Mytilus edulis: one gene and its partner. The protein of the gene in region 2 binds, or shares a complex with, the protein of the main gene of each other region. Links are inferred from orthologs where the notes say so. Each region holds a gene or a part of one and is shown on either strand. Other genes may lie near its edges. The genes, in order: lissencephaly-1 homolog and protein bicaudal D-like.

Region 1 (10,247 bases), on a different chromosome or scaffold from region 2:
TAAAAATTTTACAATCTTGATCAATGCATCTTTGGACTCACCAGTTTTGAAAATGGTGAGTCCAGGACTCATTGACTCACCTCAGTGAGAACCTTGTGATATATGTACATTGTAGTAAGTACAGTATTTGAAATCATTAATTACAGATAATTTCACCAGGCAGATTAACTAGCCCCTTGGGGCAAATTCTCTAAAACTGTTGAGTCTGTGAAATCCACATGGGTCATTCAGAGCCCTTATCCTCTCTCTTATCAACTTCAGTTTTAACAGGAATAAATGTTGATGTAAATAATAGGAAAGCAATTATCCAGACAAAGGGGCTTATTATGCAGGATTACATGTACATGTACATGTACATCCAGTTTTCATGAAATCAAGGAGGTCATATGAGAAGGAGAGTGAACACTTTGCTTGGTACAAAATAAGCATTCCCAGGATAGCAGTTCGATCAGAGAAAAATGATAATCAAAGAGCAGATTGCTCTGAGGGATACGATTGCCGTTGTTTCGTTGACACATGTACATGTATACATGTAGCTGGATAATATTATTTTCAAAACTAATTCAACTGCACATGTAAAATAGTTACAAAATAGCCAATCCCGGATAAATGTGTATGAACAATGCAATTAGGCCTATTGTGTTTTATTTTTGTACTATCAATTCCAAGTTTACTTTCCACAGCAGTCACTGAGACTCAGAGTGAGAGAAGGTATTTCACTTCGTATCTTATCACCTATTTTCCTACGTTAATTCTAGGAGGAACCCCATTCCTAACTCTTTAAATATTTAATTTCCTTTCGGTCACTGATCATGACTCCTTTCCGTACACATTTATCGGTTTAAATTTCGATCATTTTTAATATAATACACTTTATTGACAGAACGAGCTAATACCTGACGTATTGTTTTAATTCAGAATTCACGGAAGTTACTTCCAGAAGGGAGACAACTCGAAACAATAATATGGAAGACTCCATTTCGCCTGAAGGGGTGTTCTACGATGTGGACTATATTTACTTTAATTTAAATGATGCATATGATTTAAAATTATGCAACAATAATAACCTTCAATAGCAGACATACATAGAAAAGATCCCATGAGTTTAACATTAATTAATTGAGTGGGGAATCCAGAGCAACCATTCAATCGAAAACCCCTCGAAGTCAAGAAAACTATACGCATGCGCATAATTTCCAAAAAAAACCTGGAGCAAGATATATTAAATGTTTATTAAACGATCTAGATAGTTCTCTATTTCTTTATGGAAGTACAATCTCAAATATCAGTTTCATAAAGGTAAAATATAAGAAAAACTCCACTTCAGTTCTTATATGACAGAAATAGATTTATCGGAATTCAGAGAACTCTCGCATTTTATCAAACTGGGAATTCCCTCTAACGTGTTTCTAAATTTAGAAAAACACTAAATATAAATACTGCGTAATTTTGATTTTCCGTGTTGTTAAAAACATGCATATAAGTCAAGGGAATTATCAAACATGAAGATTATGAAAAGAACATTATAGGAAAGTTGTTAAAGTTCAATCCCTTTGTTTGTTTTTACCTTTTAAAGCAAGACAATCATAAGAATCTGAGATGTTCCTTAATGTTTAGAATAAAACGATTGACGTGAGGGCAATGCTCTGAGCCACCAGTATAAGTCTACAGATTGCTTGAAAGCAATCGTATCCCAAAAATATAAAGAAACCGACATGTTTATCACCCACTTGACATGGCCCTCTGATGTACCGGGCTGTTACCGCGAGCAGTAAGGGCTATTAGATAAATGGCATATTTCTGGTAACAATACAGTGTATAAAAAAAAAGATCAGACGCGCAATTTCAAAATCAATCGTCTGTCTACCGTGAAAAAAGATAAGAAATGACAAAGTTATGATGGTTTAAAGGAAAGTTAGTGTGCGATTTTTATTCAACACTACATTGCTTTCAACATGTAAACAAAGATTTTCACTTCACCTTCCAATTACTGTTGATGAGAATTGGCAGGTAATAATAATAGAAAATATATGAATATGCAAAGTACTTCCATGTAATTGAAATCACCAATTATGTTATTTATACATGTAGTATATTCAAAATGTTCAAATACTTATAGAACATTGTATAATTATAATTAAACCGTTGATGCAACTTTTTTTGTTAAAATTCATTAGACTTGGTAACATGGAAAATTGCTTTGAGCAACAGTGTACCATTTGATAAGACCAAGGGTATCAAGAGACAAGTTCTGTCCAGTCTGACCTTACGAGCAGGATAGATATTCAAACTGCTCTAAACAATAAGACAAAAATAAATAATACTTGTGTTTACGCTAACCATACATTTTTAGTGCCTACCCTAACACTTTTTATGTCATTTTGGAACTTTTGGAATATTAGATGTAAAATCCTGCAATCTGAGGTTACATTTTTGTATCTGGAAGTGTAGATAACTTTTCAAAAATGTAGAGTTTTTTCTCCATGTAATATGAAAAATTCTACTAAAAAACCTTCTAAAAACTGTTGACAAGACTGTTAAAGACTCTTTTCTTTGAATTTAAGACATACATGTACATGTAAAATAAATGTATACAAGTAGATATAAACCCCTTGCCATCAAATTTTGTTTAAATTAATTTCTCATTCAAATTTGACTTTGGAAGTTAAAGAGATCATCTTTTCTGATGCAGACCGTAAGAAAAGAAGAAAATCAATCAGTTAAAATTTTATTCTTCATAATTTTTCATAATATTTTTCAATTTGCTGAACAACTTCTGTTCAAATACAATAACAAATACAGATACAAATTTGCCTCCTTTTCCCTGCTCCTTACAGTAGCTACAGAACATAACTAGATTCTCGTACTCATAGTACTGGAGCCAGGGACGACCGTCCATCCAATGAATTTTAAATTCTCTAACCCGTTTATCCTCGTATTTCTTTTAAGCCTCTGTAACTTGGTAGGACGTGCGAGACGGCCCTTTTGTTTCCTTTCTAGTCCCAGATTACTCTGACGTCCAACAGCTGTTTTGCCAGACAAGCGGTGGTCCCATGGCCCCAGCTTGTCTGGCAAAATAGCCGTTGGACATCAGAGTAATCTCAGACTAGTGCCTTTCCAGGTCTCGCACTATCCGACAGTGAAGCCTTGTATAAATGATGTTTGTGACCAAAATTATGTGTACACTTTCGAAATGAAAACAAAACTGGTTCCACTTCTTCATAAAATTAATGGTACCCAGTCATCGAAATCGTCCTAATAAGCAATCGTCTAAAATACACAAGATGTCAAGTGGGCAGTTACGAATTAATATCTTTCGACGCAAAAAATTGAAAAATGATCAATGTTTTTTTATTTTCTGTTATTATATTTTATTCAGTCTATGCAACATAAATCAATCAATAATTACCAAAATTTGACATTTTGAAAACATGTGGTACTAACCGTTTTTCGTGCTTTTTATTTTATTTTGAACAATCGGTTATTAGGGAGACTGTCAAAACTGGTTAACGGTATTTTTGTAAGGAAGAGAGTATCAGTTAATTAATATAGATGGCGTTGAGTGACATTCTGCGTTAACTGATGGTAACGATTAAAAAAGTGCACACAGATATGCACTGCCACTAGACCGGTCGGACTATCGGCAGTGTACAATGTATCAGTAGTTTATGTAAACTAGTCTGAGCTTATTTAAACTAGACACGGGCTTCAGGCTACCGCTTAACGTCGCAGACTGCATAAATATTATTTTTTTTGCCTAAATATAGCTATATTAACAATTAAAATACGTATTACACTGAAATTTCGGTTGACAAGCAGACCAAACATGAAAATAAAATTTTGACATCATAAATTATCAGAATTTAAAGATCAAAACAAACGAACTCTAAATCAACTGATACAATCTGAGATCATCAGACAGCATTTGCCTGATGTTCATTCTAATAAACAAAATAAGACGAATTCATTAAGTATCACATCTTGAATAACTTTTGCTGTCTGCCTGAGGGATGGGTTGCAAAAATACTCCACAACTGTCAAACTTGTCATTAGAAAGACAATGGTCAATTTATGTCTAATTTTGCATAAATGGTTAAAACATAATCAATTTCACACTTACACACGTATAAATCGTACATGTAAAAAGATAAATGACATACAAAAGTATGTCTGAAATTTAATGAAATGTTAATTTTTGCATGAAGTCATTCATTGATTTATAATGTCACAGACCGCCATTATGAAGCTGTCTGCAATTCATTTTGAAAATAAGGCACAAGAACAGCAATTTTTCCAATATAAATTTAAAATTTCTAGGTCATGCATAATTCCTTTCTTCAATTTTACCTGTAAACCATTGGAATATGTCTTAAATCAACGAAAATATTATCACTTGCAGGACTCCACACGTAAATTCGTCCGAAAATTGTATGAATACGCATGCGCATACGGAAAACATACGGAAGTCGCACAACGAGACTTCCTCGGGATCCAATATGTCTGCGCCCCTGAAACGTTGTTTTTTAGACGTTTTCATACATTTTATGCTGTCCTGAAATAACATTTGCTAGTAGACATTTGAAGTTGCTTATTTAAGTTTCCTTAAACTATTTAACGGTAAGTACACGATGGTGTTTGATAATATGAGGCAGGCATTACCTGTGAATGAGGACGAAGTTTGCTTAAATTTTTTTTTTTATTTTAATTCTGTATTCTGTATTTTAAATATTTGTTACAAAAAAAGATACGGAAATACCGTAACGTTTCCGATTTTGGTTCTGTTGTTAGGGATTTTACTTGTGACGTTATTTAAGTTATGACGTCATGTTCAATGTAAACAAAGAAACGCAATGCATCAGGTAGGCCTAACGTTTAATATGAGGCAGGCATTACCTGTAAATGGGGACGAAGTCTGTATGAATTATTTTTTTGTAACTTTTAAAAACATTTGTTTAAAAAAAAAGAAACGTAAATACCGTAACGTTTCCGATTTTTGTTCTGTTGTTAGGGATTTAGTTGTGACGTTATTTAAATTATGACGTCATATGCAATGTAAACAAAGAAACGCTATCATCAGGTAACATTTTTCCCCCGCAAGCCGGACCAGATGGCCATTATAAAAAAAATCCGAAATATATTGCTTGCAGAGATTTTTTCTGTGTTCCCATGGCTGGACGGAACTTTTACGCTAAATATGTTAACGTTATCTATGATTTTGTAACTTTTAAATGAAGTACCTGTGATTATTTGGGTAATTTGTTTTGACCTCACTGTTAAAGGAATGTTGAAGCAGACGAAACATGGCGTCAGATGTTGTTGTCCTAACTTCGATAATTTCCGTGGTACGATAAAATTTAGATAAGCTACACAAGTAACCAAAATTTCTGAATTCTTGTTTTTGCAAACAAATAAAAATTCATGTTGTATTTAATATCAAAATTATTCCGATCTGTCCCGTTTTTTCAAGGTCACGTTGAAACGTTAAATTCGGCCGCCATTAAAAAAAATAATCATACGAGATTTAACGAGAGTGACGAAACTTTTCAGATGGGTCGTGTAGAGAGAGTTATCGTTCTTTATTCCAAAACGATGCTTCTACCATAAGTGCCAGCTAAAGCTGGCATACTAGACTGATAAATATATATTTTACTCAAAGTTTCATACAAACGAGACCGGAAAAAGGAAGTACATTATACATTTCTGCGCAGGTCCGGGATTTCAAAACACGACAAAAAAAATTTGAACGATTTTGAGTTCATTAGTACAATGAAAAATTCGGGAAATTTTCCCGTATTTTTTTTTTTTATTGAATTTTCTACTGTTATTGGGGACTCCGTCCCCATATTAATTCATACCAAAGACAAAGAATGATTAAAAATGAAATATTGGTATTGTGTTCCTTGAGTTCCTATATTTTACTAGACTAATCAAAGTCTCACGAAAACAAGACTGGAAGAAGGAAGTAGAGTTATGTGTTCTGAGCAGATCCGGAAATTAAAAAACATGACAAAAAAAAAATTGAACGATTTTGAGTTCATTAGTACAATGACCGAAATTTTCCCAATTTTTTTTTTTTTTTGAATTTTATACTGTAATAGGGGACTTTGTCCCCATATTATAGTCGTCCTCGTACTCGCGAGTCTTTCGCTTTGGATAGAAGTGCTCTATATGATCATACACAGTATGAAAAAAAACAAAATATATAGGATAGCGATCGCCATTGACAGTAAAACCTCGTCTGAGCCACTAAACAAGCCCCTGTGTATCATATATGGGGTAGAAATGTCTAATACCGTCAGTCGTCAAACGATAATTTTTGGCTACTGTAAAGCATTAAATTAGTTAAATTTTACCATGATTTGTCAAAATATCCTTCTTTTGATTCGTAAGAGTTATCAAAATATTTAAATTATCTTTTGCATCATTTTTGGAATAATGTCGAAATAAGTCATGTAAGTCAATTGTTTATCGTATAAAAGTGTACATATTATTGTCATGCACAAAAAATTACAGTTACAGCAATTGGTTTGAAGTTTTACTGTTATTCATCATGAAGCCTGAAGATACTCCCATTACCTACCTCCTATATCTTTATATATATATATATATATTTTTGTTTCTAAATTGACAAAATATTCTTGAATATTGATGCCTGCAGGAAAAATTAGTTTGAACAAGTGTTTTTGATATAAATTTTGAGAGCCTCAATGCTCTTGAAGTTGGGTGCTCAACTCAATCTCAAAGCACACAAGAAAGCCACAGGCACTTGTCTTGAATTTCCCCCCCCCCCCCCCCCCCCCCCATATGTTACCTATTCCATTGTATTCTGTATTTTCCACCTTTACCAGATGAACCACTTCAGTTGGAAAATCCTCTTGAAGTGTAGAATCCCTTATTATTGAATATTCACTATTATTGGATTAAAAACATCTTCTACATGTATATATACATTTACACTTATATACACCACCACCACACTTATTTAAAAGTATTCAAACTGTATATACAGCATGTACAGTCATATTTTAAAATCTAAAACTTGATAGATTGATCCACTGTCATTTTGTCCTTTATTTCACTTGTGTCTCTCTCCTCATCAATAGAATATATATACATCACATGTATCCACAACGCATATTGACTGTAAAACTTGCTCAGATCAGCAAATGTCTATTTCACACTTAAACATGCTCATAAAATGCGAACTGTAATTCCTAACCCTTGCTCTTATACCTAGTATTTACCCCTATCAAGAGAGCCTTACTACAGAATTATTAATTCTTAAACTTACGGTAATGAAAAATTTCACTGTTAATCATGTTAATTGTACTTCATGTACTTATGACTTAGCAACAAGTAAACATTTAAAATCTAAAAAGAAGGTGTAAAATTATCACCTATCATATAAGCGTTAAATAAGACCGCCTAACTGATTTGTTTAAAAATATTAAACTAACAATCAGTTTAAATCTTAAGAAATTATTATCATCTATACCACACTCAAAAAATGAAATATTGCACTATATGTCTCTTTTAACTTGGAAAACTATACAAACAGTCTTCATAGTAATAAACTAGTTCTCTTCTGATGTAGACCAAAACATAAGCTGCTTAACAGGCGCTCAATATTTATCCATACTGGAATTTTGTACAGTCCACTATTAATTGTAATAGCTTATCTTCAAAGTTAAATAAATCATCCACAAGAAGAGCATTAATCTTATGTACCATAATATTATGAGGCAGGCATTACCTGTGAATGGGGAGTAAGTCTGTATGAATTATTTTTTTTGTAACTAAATATTTGTTAAAAAAAAGAAACGGAAATATCAGATTTTGATTCTGTTGTTATGGATTTGTTACTTGTGATGTTATTTAAGTTATGATGTGATGTTCAATGTAAACAAAGAAAGACATGAAAGACAATGCATCAGGTAACCATGGTAACCGTAACGTTAATTCATATCAGAGACATGAGTATTAAAATGAAATTTTGGTATTGTGTTCCTTGAGTTCCTATATTTTACTAGACTACTCAAAGTCTCACGACAACGAGACCAGAAGAAGGAAGTAGTTTCTGTGTTCTGTGCAAATGCAGGAATTAAAAAAGCGACAAATAAAAGTTAACAATTTTGAGTTGATGAGTACAATGAAAATTTCCTGACCAATTTTTTTTTTTATTTTATTGATTTTTCTACTGTTACAGAGAACTTCGTCCTCATATAAAACAAGGTACTTAACTTGTCTTTTGAAAAAAGTCACCCAAAACATACAACTGGCAGAAAAAGGTATTTTCCCACTCTCTTCATGATCATGTAGTTTCTTATTCTATCTGCACAAAAAAAGATAACTTTTAATGAACTAAACACATATTCTGCGGAATTTGTAAGATACATGTACTTATACAAACTGTACAAGTGTAATTTATTTACCTTTAATAAAATATTTTTTACAGAATTAATTATGGCGTTGAATAAGTTCATGCATCCAAGGAACAAGTACAAAAGCAAGAAGGCAAATTTCCAGTACCTTGCCATCAAATATCCAGAATTTAGGAAACATGTTTATCCAGATGTAAGTGGAAAGCTTTTTCTTGACTTCAGAAATCCTGATTCTTTAAGACAGCTTTCCACCACACTTATGAAAGAAGACTTTGGATTGGATGTTGTGTTGCCTCCTGATAGACTGGTACCTACCATTCCTTTGAGGCTTAACTATATCTTATGGATAGAAGATATTTTGAAAGATTCCAGTATTAAGGGAGACATTTTAGGAATAGATGTTGGTAATATTAAGCATACATATTATAATTTATTAGAATCTTGAGAAACAAAATATAGAACATGTAGAATCAGAAAATATTCTCCACGATTAAAAAAAGGAAATGTGGTATGATTGCCAATGAAACATTTTTTTACTCTTCCATGTCTTCACATGAGACCAAATGACACAGAAGTTACATTTGTAACATCTATAGGTCACTACAACCTTCAACAATGAAAAAGCACATACTGCATAGTCAGCTACATGTATAAAAGGGCCTTAAATGTCAAATATTCTCCTTGAGGTCAATTAATTCTGATAGGATAATAATAACAATGACATCCAGAGGGCAATATAACAGTCTTTTACAAAAAAACAAGACTAACACTCAATGTAACTTGACAAGCTTTTAATGTTTGAGTTTATAAGTAAAAAAAGTTACATAAATGAAATAGAAACAATTAACATGATTAAAGACTTGCCTTTATTAACTAATTCTTTAAATGAGAAAAAAACTATTAAGATATGACTAATTTAAGACAACAACTGAACTCAGAACAGGCACTTGTGTATGCAGATGTGACTTGATTTACTTGAAATGATTTTTATATGAGAGGTATATGCTCCTCGTTTTAAAACGTGATGTTTAGATTAACAAAACCTGCATTTAGAGAGAACATACAATGAAAATAAGTCCTGGAAAAGGTTTGTATCAGACAAACATTCAACATGCTAAAATAACAACCAAACTTTTAATTTAGTTGCATTAGGAAAATAGCTCTGCTGGTAATAGCAGGAAAACGTTAAATTCTGATTTTTGTTTTTAACAGGAACAGGAGGAAGTTGTGTATATCCCCTCCTCTCTGCTAGGATGAATAAATGGAGATTTCTTGCTACTGAACTTGATGATACAAACTTTACATGTGCTGTCAAAAATGTGGAAAGAAACCAGATGACCAATTTAATACAAGGTAAAAATAGTTTTAATTTTATCAATCATATCAATAAAATGTCAGTAAAAACTAAGTTTTAAAGAGATGCCAGAGTATCAAACTTGTAATCTGTTAGATATATATGGACCATAATTTGCTATTGGGCTCGTTTCCTATAACTATAGAAAAGTGATAAAAATGTGTATTACTGTAAGAAAAGTTGTAACTACATCTAAAGATGCCTTTATTTTTATCAACATACAAGTGTATGCTACTCTTCCCTAGAAAAAAAATTGAAATTAACAAATTTTAAAGATTATACGACCGTATTTTTGTGTCGTTTCTCGCGTTACTTTTCGCTTCCGAAGTGCATAACGCTGACTGCTTTATAGATAATCGTCACCATCAAATTCGTAACTTTTGCTTTCAAATAATAAAGAACATCGACCAAAAAGAATAGTCAGGAGAAAATGCCGAGAACTATAAGTATTTCTGTAGCAGGTGTAAGAACACTAGCGTTACTTTGGTTTCCAATTTCGTAACGCAAATTTT
Region 2 (10,996 bases):
ATGTATGCCTGGACCTTCATTAGACTAGAGTCTTAACCATACAGTAAATGTGTGGAAAAGTTGCGAATAAATCTTAACAGAGATAAGAAAATAAACATCTGCCATCATCAGCCAATGTTATAATGGAATAAAAACTATGATATATAGACAAAGACTATCCCTGATGAGGCGTTTAATTGCTCTTGACATGTAGGAAATGCACATACATAGTTTTTTAAGAACGAAAATATGTATACTTGTTTTCTTCTTCCTGGCAGAGAAAATAAATTGGGTTGTTACATTCAATGTGAAATCATTTTATTTTTGAAAAATATTTTACATATTACATAAAACTTCTTCTTGTAGGGAAATTTTCTGGATGTACTTAATTAAAAAGTATGGATTTCAACAGCGCTTTTCTAAATGTATTCATAAAATGTGTTAAGAGTAGGCATTCAATTAAATGAATTTTATTGGGTTGCAAGGCAGGCTGGTACCAAAAAAGTATATTTTTAAGCATTTATACCATGATGTATAAGGTACATTATTAATGTGCATGTATTAAATCATTTATTTTCACAACATACAATTGTAAGAAATTATATTTTTTCCTCCATGAGAACATAATATTACAATTGTTTAACACAAGATGCATTAATATTTAGTACTTTTATTGATTGTAATTTGTATGATTTATAAATTAATAATATTATTAAGCATAATTTCAATAATATTCAAAATGCTATGATCAACCAGATCATATGTTAATATGTTCAAACAATTTAAAATGTTGTTTAGAATATAATCCTGTATCACTTTAATTTCACTAATGTAATCAAAAGAAATTATATAATATATATTTAACAACTTTCTCTTGATCTGGACTTCTGAACCATGAAATACTTTATTCAAAATACAAATATTGTATCATTTAAATATAATTTGGGTTAAAGATTAAAAATCAAAGAAATGAGAAAAATCCCAACAATGAATGATCTTCCCTTATTTGGAATAAAATTTATGAAAATGTAATATAATCATGATTTGAATTATGAATTCATAAGCTGTTTAGCCCAAACTTATGGTTGACAGTGCATAAGATATGTATGAATACCAGCAGATACATCCCATTAATAACACATGTGTTACATGTTAAATTAATTACAACACATCAAAAACTACACCCGTAGCCTTATGAGTTAAACAGACATAAAGGTTCATTCATATTTGTTAACACATAACTTTTAAAGTTTACCTGAATCTTTAGAAATAAATTAAACAACCAACACCTTCTGCCTACATCTTTAATTCAGGTCATGTGAAGAAAATAAATTCCATTATATTGCTTAAAAGGATAGGTACATTTAACATGTAGGTTGCTTAAAATTATATTTATGTCACACATATGACTAAATTAACTGAAATGTGGGGTATTTTTCCACCCCCCACCCCCGAGTATTCTTTGAAGAAAATCTGCTGGTCATCACTATTGCTAAATAACAAAATTGAGTCTGCCCTTGCAAAATTTTGTTGGCCAAAAGCTTAGGACCACCTCTTTTCTAGAACTTGCATCTTGTTATTAAAATCTCACATAAAAACAGGATTTATGGATTATTGTTTGCTGAACGTACATTGACAAATATTTCATGCAAACATAGGACATGTTAAAATTTAAAACAGAGACATGAAACTGGACATGGCTTCCAGTGATAATAAAAAGACTTCAGTTTCTGATTCATAATCAATAAAAACATTGAAAAGAAAGATAAATGTATAAATGAATGAAGATCTGTGTCCAATGCCTTCGACACGACACGACACAGATTGCCCTACTTGTCAATATGTAAACAATATATTCAGAGTTCATAAAGGGACATCCCTCGAAAAAAAAAGTGAAACCCCCAAATTCAAACTTATCTGTGCATGGAGGTAATATTAACCATTGTGTACAAGTTTCATTACATTTGGTTGAGACAAACTAAAGTTAGAAATCTGAAACTAATTTTAGAGCATACAGACAGAGGACCAGATGGACAAGGGTAAAACTTGAAGCCTCCTCTGTCATGGTGTGGCCATCACAAAGGGTTTTTATCTAAAAACATTTTAAATCATCTAATATTTTTCCTTTGCCTCACAATGGAACATAACATTACAGGTACCATTGCCAGCTTATAAATCGTATTTTAACATGCAACCAAACAAAGTGTGCTTAAAAATGTATCCAAACTATCAACAATAAACTTATCCCTGTCACCACGAAACCACTGCACGAAAAACAAATGCACATTTTATAAATGTATCATAATTTATACCCATGCAGGATTATTTAAAAGCTCCTGTAAAATAATATTCATGTAAATAAGAACCAACAATTAATAGAGTAATACAAACAATACCAGGGTATATGTTTTCATGAAATGCGTCCAATGACCCTAGCTTGTCTGGCAAAACAGCTGTTAATAGACAGACTATAGAATCTAAAGCCTTCTTGGTTAATTTCTTCAAAAGTGTACATCAAAATATGTGATTGCTTAACAACGGAAATTCATCCAATGAAAATTTCAAAAGCATATCAAGAAATTTTCCCTTTAAAAGGGGGACATCTTTTTTTTTCTTGAATCTTAAAGTCATATGAAACGAGTGACCGGTGAAAAATAATGTTATTCTAATTCATGTACCAATGCATACAAACATCATAAACAGTTTTCTGTGCACAATTTTATAAATTTTTTCGCATAAATTTCGTAAAATCACCAATTTTTTTTCAATCGGTCAGTGTTATTGAGAAAATATGGCAGGTAATTAAAGTTCGTGTATTGAAGCCGAAGTTGAACGATTGTCACCTGTTTGTCAGCAATCAACAAAAAGCATGGATATTGACCACGTGTTTAACATGTACAATCAGATAATTATAGTTTATTTAAAGGACATCCATGCGTATTACGATCACCAGATTTTTACGACATGGGTCACACTGAGGTCACTTTGAATACGGAAAATATGTTGGGGAATTGCTTCCTGGAAGGAATTAACATAAAGCACAGTCGCTTGAATTTTAGTGATATATGTATGAAAAAAAAAATGAAAAAAATACTGTTATATGTATAATATTATTATATATCACTAAAATTCAAGCGACTGTGCATAAAGTAAACTAAACTTTTTCTAAATATGAACTAATTTAAAAAAATTCTTCAGAAAAAAGTATATATGTACATAAGTTTTATAATGAAACTATCCATTGAGTTAAATAAAAAAAGCATAAGCATTATTTTTTTAATTTGAGGTTTCTTATGACTTTAAAGTAAATAATTCCAACTAAACCACATTTTTTGCCCTGCTTTGTTGTTTTCAAACTCTGATACAAATTTGAATGCAATATTCAATGTTTGGTTTTATTGGACATTCAATTTCACTAATGATTAATGAAGGAATGTGATTGATTGATCATAAGGATAATCTCAAGGTACATAATCAGTTAAAACGTTTTCTGGTTCAATTCAGACCAATAAATGCTGTTGAGGTTTTAAATCTGCTAAAATGCAAGATAATGTGAAGAATCAAAAATATGTAAAAGTATGTTTAGATGTCTTCAAATACGACACGCGGAATAGCAAAATTCAATATTCAACTTTGAGATATTCCCCCAACTTGACGACAGCTAGTCATAAGAAGGGCATTGACGCACCCAAATCTCTGTGAAAACCATAAATATAATATTTACCTCTTTAGCTGTGTCTAGTTCTTGCTTTAATGTTTCATATTGTGTCTCTATTTCTTCGATTTGCTGTTGAAGTTGCTGTTTTTCCTCTAACACTGCAAGTCCGTACTCAGCGGCTTGCACCTTTTCTTGTGTCGTCTCGGCAAGTTCTGTCTGCAGTCGCTCGACTTCTCGCCTCAACTCTTCAACAGACTGGTCGGCACTACTTGGATCTGACATTTTTAACCTAAAGAGGACTTAAATTATTCAAATAACACGAAAATTGGAAGAAAGTTTCAAGGGCAGACTCCCCCATACTATACAGTCGCCATCTTATTAATTTATGCAGCTATGTTGTCATGTGACCAGACTTGTCTTTATATGGAAACCCTAATTAACTTTAATGCTAACCGTGTTTATGTTGGGTTTTTAAAAATTAATCCTATTTATCGAGATCTGGTCCCCATAATGTACATCAATAAGAAAAAGATTAAAGTAAATATTAAGACAAGTCACCTATCACCAGTTGTTTACAATATATTGATCTTGGAAAATATTAATGTAAATTATGCAAATTCTTATGGCATTAGGACATTAGGCCGTATATGATTTATCATATGATCGGTATACTCACTGGAACATGATACATATATTGACTGGTACTATTTTAACTAACTAATGTTAGTATAATAGTGCCAAATATTCCCAGGATATGTCAAGGAAAAAAAACTCGCATTTGTTTTTAAACAAATTAGTACTATCAGAGACATACTCTATGTATTTATATATGTCTCTGCTGGTACTATGAATGATACACTCGAGGATACACTAAAGCATGTTATGTAAAATAAAAGAAACAGGGGCTGATCCAGCCATGTTAAAACCGGGGGTGGGGACATCAAAGGATAAAGGGGGTTCATTCAAATGCATTGATCGTCTAAAAAATAATGGAGGGTTCAAAACCCCGGCAGACCCCCAAGATCCGCCACTGAGAAAGTCTATATCAAAATTCCATTTTAAAGAAGTGATTACCACTAACAGACGTGTCATCAGAAACATATTTTCTGGTACATGCAAAACTTGAACAACACATAAGAAAATATAAAAACTTGTTTTCACTTTGCATCAAAAACTCACGTTTTGTAAGTTTAAATTGGTACTGTTACACTAGTAAGATATATACGAGTCCTAGGTTATAACTAAAAGAAATCTTCGTTCTATGAGTTATTCTAATACTATAACAATTTATATGTGATATAGAAATCTCAGGTCACTGAGTTGGAGAAATAAGGGCACGAACAAATATTTTCTTTCTTTTGAAAATATGGGCAAAAATATGTTCCAATATTTGACACATCTGGATGTGTCATCAATATAAATGATTGCTGTTACATTTTTGAGATTTGCAATCAAATCTTCACCGTGACATTATATATTATATTATAATGTCACAGGTTGAACTGAACATAGTATAATTGAATAAGTCGCCTCACCTGGTAATGTTAGTTTCATTACATCTATGGTTTCATGAATGCAGTAGTAGAATCTATTTCGATGATGATACGTCGTACTAGTCTATCTATAACTTTTTGAAGCAAAAATGTTGTGAAACTATGATTTCTTTGTTAATCAAAGAAATACATATTCATTTGTGATATTAACTCAATTATGATAACTCTGATTTTAATTAAGTGTCATATAGTTCAATTATCAACTTTCCTAGTTTGATTGTTAAATTTGTTCTTAATTAAAAGATTATTGTCATTTCTAAAAGCAATTGTCAAATGTCAATATTACTCGAAATAAGCATACAATGGAGGAAGAGGAAAGCAAAAAAAAATTTAAAAAAAATGGTTTTGATTTTTAATCGAAGACATTGAAAATAGCATATTGTATGTTTCATTTGACATTTTGATACAACAAAATCTCTTGATTATATATTTTAATAAATGTATGAATGTTGTGGATATTCGAATATCACATTTTGAAAATAATTCAGAACTAAATAAAAGAGTACACAATACGCCTATTTCTAGAATAAGAAATAACCTGTAAGAACTTTGAATGGATAGTCACATGTTAGACTATATTTTCGAGGGTAGATAGAAAACGGCGGATAGCAAAAACATATTGCACGGTTATTTTAAGAATATCTAAAAACCAATCTAATTAAAATATAGATATCTGACTTCGTTATGCTACTCATATGAAGTATAACCAGAGACATATATAATACATTGTCTCTGGGATCAGGTTAAAAAAAAGTAAAATCACAAAAATACTGCCGGAACCCCGAAGAAAATTCAAAACGGGAAGTCCCTAATCAAATGGAAAAAATAAGGTATATTAGCCTGGTATCCCTGCCCGATATCTCGGTGACAAGATTACCCAGGACCCCAGGCTAAAAGGATATATCATTGTATCGACTGCTGCCTTTGTATGGTGTCGTCGACATCATACAAAGACTATAATTGTATAGTATAGTTTTATATAAAAGGAAAGTAATCCTTGCAAAATGTTGTATTTATTATAAACATTTTAAAAATCAAAATAAATCTTTTAAATTTATCTGTGAGAGAAAACCCTTAGATTCGACTTTACAAGTGTTTATAAATATTCAATGTACTCTCGTGATTGTCTACACCGTAAACCGGAACTATTTAGTCGCTGTTCCGATAATTTTTTTTAGCAGGTGCCCAAAATCCCGATCCAATTAAATTTATTGCGCAGGCGCACAACGATTTCCCGTTCTCAAAACAATATGGCCGAAACTGAGACGGTCTATTGTTTATGTCGAAAACCTTATGACGAGTCTGAGTTTATGATAGAATGCGATATTTGTAGAGACTGGTTTCATGGAAGGTTAATCATCTTATAGATTTATATATTTTGCCACACACTAACAGTCCCTAACTCATAATTTTAGTCGTTGTTTATACCTGTCAGTGTTCCTGACAGATGACAGACCCATAATTTTTAAAGTAAAACTATGTATGATTGTTTAAAAGCGGCATTGCTTTAATCAAACCATGCATTATCACACTAGGTGAGAGATAAACCAATTCCAAGGCTTTTTGACGGCACCAGAAGCAACGAAGCAGCGCATCTATTTTGGACGGACAAATATCCACCTACTGATATGGGACGAGCTCTGACGTCCCACGGCCCCAGCTTGTCTGGCAAAACAGCCATTTTAGTCAGAGTAATTACGGATTAGTCTGTGCACAACTAATCACAATTTTTTAAGTGAGCTCGGGTTTGTTCTGCTTTAAATCAATGAAGCAATTGAATTTTCAATCAGATCAAATATATTTGTCAGTGCTGGTCTTTTTGTCAAAACAGATTCCAGCCGAGTTTGCAAAATAGTCAGTCCTGACTGCCAAAATAAACCTCTGATCAGTATTACTATTTTGATTGCTGGTGGTGAATCCAGGTCCGTTCGCGCCCAATCACGTTGGCAAATCAAGTCATTAATTACTTACTTACTTACCCATTCATGTTCGCCCCCTTTCACATTCGCACCCTACATGTTTGCAACCAAAGTCCATTTGCGCCCAAATTTTATTTAAACTCTCATATGCTATGAAATACAAATCGTACATTATCCTGATCGAGTTAAAATTTTATTGGTTTTGTGGTTAATAATTTGTAAACGTGTTTTGTAAAGTGAATTGTTATAAATATTTAGCCATCAATTATCTTTCATGTTTTTTATTTAAAATCTTCAAAGTTTTAGTCATACCAAGCTAAATATATGCAGTTAATTACATCAAAGCATTAGTTAAAAGAATTAAAACAACAATCATGATTTTTAAACCCATTAAAAATAAGACCAAATTAGGCTGTCTATAAATACCAATTAGCAGTAATCATACATAATTAAGATTTTAAAATGATTAATCATCAAATTATATAAAAAAATATATATGATAATTCCTCAAACTTTATTCAAGAGAATAAAATTATCCGGTATATACATGTAAAAAAATATCTAATAATTCAACTTAAATTCTAATACAAATTCTGCGCGACTGTGTAGGGTGCGAACAGACATAGGGGGCGACCATGTGAGGTGGGTACGTGTGGGGTGCGAAAGTATATTGGGCGCGAACAGACCTGATACCGCTGGTGGTGGTCTCGATGACTGATGCTTTAACAGCCATTGCAGTGCCCATGTCAGTACATTTTTTAATATTGGTCATCAGATGTACCCACAGTTAATTTCAGGTACAAATCACAAAAGCAATTAGAGTTTGAAATTCATAAATTAGAAACTACAATACTGGTTTTTAAACGGACCAACCCAGTGAGCTGAATGTGGCCTTCCAAATTTGTTCATGGAGCCATCCTTAGCAAAACCTACCAACGAAGCCAAACAAATAGATACGAAGCATTATGAGTAGAAAATTAAAATTTGCCTGTAAAGTATAAAACTAATTCAAATAAAGTGGGTTTTTTTTAGTCATTGTGGGACTGGCAAAATTTGTATAGGACTGACTTACACATGTACATGTATAAGTCCCATGACTGACAGGTCTAAAAATGTTCTTGAGAACTCTGGTCCAGAATTAGGTAAACTGATCAGGTAAAAGAAAAATGCACAATTTGTGTCCAGGGTGTCACATGTGATCCTTATAGTTATATTCTAAAAATCAAACTAAATTATGACCGATTTGTTTCATAACAGTTGCATTTCATTGCTAATACCTGTCAACTTGTTTAGGTTCAAATCCTTTTATTTAGGTTTTATGAAAAATTCTTAGGGTCACCTCATTTCTAAAATTTTCATTCTCCCTTATTATTGTCCGGTTTCATAGAAATTAATTAAAGTTATGGTAATTTTGAAAATATGGAGCAGATAGATATAATAATCAAAAAGGGTATTGTTTTGAATTTTTATGCAAAGTATTTTCATTTATTTTTTAGCTGTGTAGGTGTACAAGAACATCAGGCATCAGATATTGAAATATACCATTGTCCAAACTGCCAGCTTACACATGGTCCTCTACTCTGTAAGTACACACATTACGACAAAAAAATATATATGCATGTTTCCTGTTACATGTATGAAAAATACAGGGTGGTTAGGTATGGATTTTTATTTTTATTTTACCATACATTTTTTTTTACATTAATTAGTCTATGGGAGATACAATCAGACTTTAACAGTGCTTATTGATTTTTTTTTTTTTTAGGGTACATGTAGGCTAATTTTTAAATTAAAAAAATTGTCAGGGTAGGTTAATAGAATACACACATCTCTTTTTAGTTTGGCCTTATATCCAGTTCAAATGACAGTCACACTTCAAAATCCATTGCAAATTCCACCATACATTTTGACCAGATGGAAAATATTTCCTTTTATGAAAGAAATAAAGGCACATCAATTTAGGCAATAACAATGATAGCTAATCAACAAACAAAAAAAAGCATTTTCTCTGAAGTCTTGCCTTTTTAGAAGGGCATTAAGCAATGATTTAGACTAAACATTGGAAGTTCGTTTTTTTAAACATTAAATAATAAAAGATTTTAGCAGCCACTCGCACAACTTTCTGAACATGTTTTAGTTTTCATTACTAATATAGACCACGTCTGAAACTTCAATTAAAAGAACTACTTATTGTTTTACATTGTCTTATCAGGGCCTTTTATAGCTCACTATGCGGTATGGGCCTCATCATTGTTGAAGGCCGTACGGTGACCTATAGTTGTTAATGTCTGTGTCATTTTGGTCTTTTGTGGATAGTTGTCTCATTGGCAACATACCACATCTTCTTTTTTATACTTTATGTATACGTTATGCCTAATTAATCCTGTTATGCACTCTAGCATTTTCCATTTGCACATTGGGAAATCTCATCTTTTTTTAAAATCTGCTATATAGAGCAAATTGATATGATTCATTACTGTGCAAAACCCATTGTGTTCATGAAATATCTGCTTTGCTAGTAAATTCATTTGTCAAAAGATTTCAAAATATAGAGTTGTAGCATTATCTTTTTCGACAGCTGTAATGCATTACATGTATTTTGATTTTTTCAGTGAAAAAGAGACAAAATTTCCACAGACATGATTATTCTGAAGCTGACGTCGAGAATAAGGTATTAATAATAATTTAACAAAAAAATGTACCACATCAATAAACACTCATATACGAATATTTTAATCAAGAAAGAGTTCTCAATTTTGAAATAAGAAGATTGGGTATTATTGCCAATGAGACAACTCTCCAACACAGACCAAATGACACAAAAAATAGCCATTAAGGTTACTGTAATGTCTTCATCAATGAGAAAATCTCATGCCGCATAGTAACTTGGGAAAGGTAACAAAAAGACAAACTTCAAACCATTCAAGAAGTCTGATAATGTATAAATAGAATTGAGAATGGAAACGGGGAATGTGTCAAAGAGGAAAAAACAACCTGTCAAGAGCAGAAAACAACCTTATGACAACACTTTCCTGAACCAAGTCAGAAATTTGGTAGTTGTTATCTAATAGTTTGATTCTATGTATGTTGCATTGTCGTTTAATTTTTGTTGCACTTGGAGTTTTTCTGTTGCTTCGGTTTTTTTTTCCTTTTATAGTTGATGTACTGTGTTTCCTGGGGTTTTAGTTTGTAACCAGGATTGGTTTTCTCTCAATCAATTTACCGTATGACTTTTGAACATCGGTATACTACTGTCGCCTTTATTTACTATGATAAAAATTGGGAATTAAAAGAAAACAACAATAACAGAAGGCATCAACATTACATTTGCTGAATTTAAATAAGAAATGAAATGAAAATATTTAAAATACCCATGACATTTTTTTTTAATGATTTATTACCTTTTCAGGCTGTTCAAACAGGAACTGTTGTATTTATTAAAGAATTAAAAAACAGAACATTTCCCAGGTAATTTGTTTTATTATTTTAATGTACAATTATATTCTGAATCATTTATTTCTGTATATGATAGAAAAGAAACAAAGGCCAGGCTTATACATTGCAAGAAACATAATCGTCTAGGTCAACTTAGCTTTAGGAAATTGCTATCTTAATTTTTTGTTCATCGACTTCATAAATGGCATTAACTTGTAAGTATTCTGTTTCTATTGTTTGCAAGTTTCAGGATTTGTACTTGAAATTAAACCAACACAGTGTCAGATGGTATTTTTTACTTCAACAATTCATCCATTAATGTTGGACAAATATTTTGATTATCTCCCTTCTATACAACACTGATCATGTTATTATACCAGTGAAGAGAATTTTTCAAGGCTTGTTTATTAACCTTCGTCTTTACAGTGGAGATGAACTTCCTTTATTACGAC

The links.
Region 1: protein bicaudal D-like (region 2) and lissencephaly-1 homolog share a complex: the UniProt entries of both Caenorhabditis elegans proteins name them as parts of the dynein-regulating complex. The link is inferred for Mytilus edulis from reciprocal best matches to the Caenorhabditis elegans genes bicd-1 and lis-1.

Annotation. Positions count from the first base shown.
Region 1 is NC_092349.1:6,456,771-6,467,017, forward strand, and holds the start of lissencephaly-1 homolog, read right to left. Parts: upstream 4,467-10,247; 5' UTR 4,348-4,466; intron 1-4,347. Other genes in the region: RNA N(6)-adenosine-methyltransferase mettl16-like, read left to right, coding at 8,464-8,785, 9,594-9,734. UniProt on the Caenorhabditis elegans protein: Positively regulates the activity of the minus-end directed microtubule motor protein dynein. May enhance dynein-mediated microtubule sliding by targeting dynein to the microtubule plus end.
Region 2 is NC_092344.1:56,702,121-56,713,116, reverse strand, and holds the start of protein bicaudal D-like, read right to left. Parts: upstream 4,098-10,996; 5' UTR 3,920-4,097; coding exon 3,704-3,919; intron 1-3,703. Other genes in the region: lysine-specific demethylase 7B-like, read left to right, coding at 6,441-6,541, 8,606-8,691, 9,722-9,780, 10,519-10,577, 10,971-10,996. UniProt on the Caenorhabditis elegans protein: Part of a complex with dlc-1 and egal-1, which is recruited to the nuclear envelope by unc-83, where in turn, it recruits dynein to the nuclear surface and regulates nuclear migration in hypodermal precursor cells.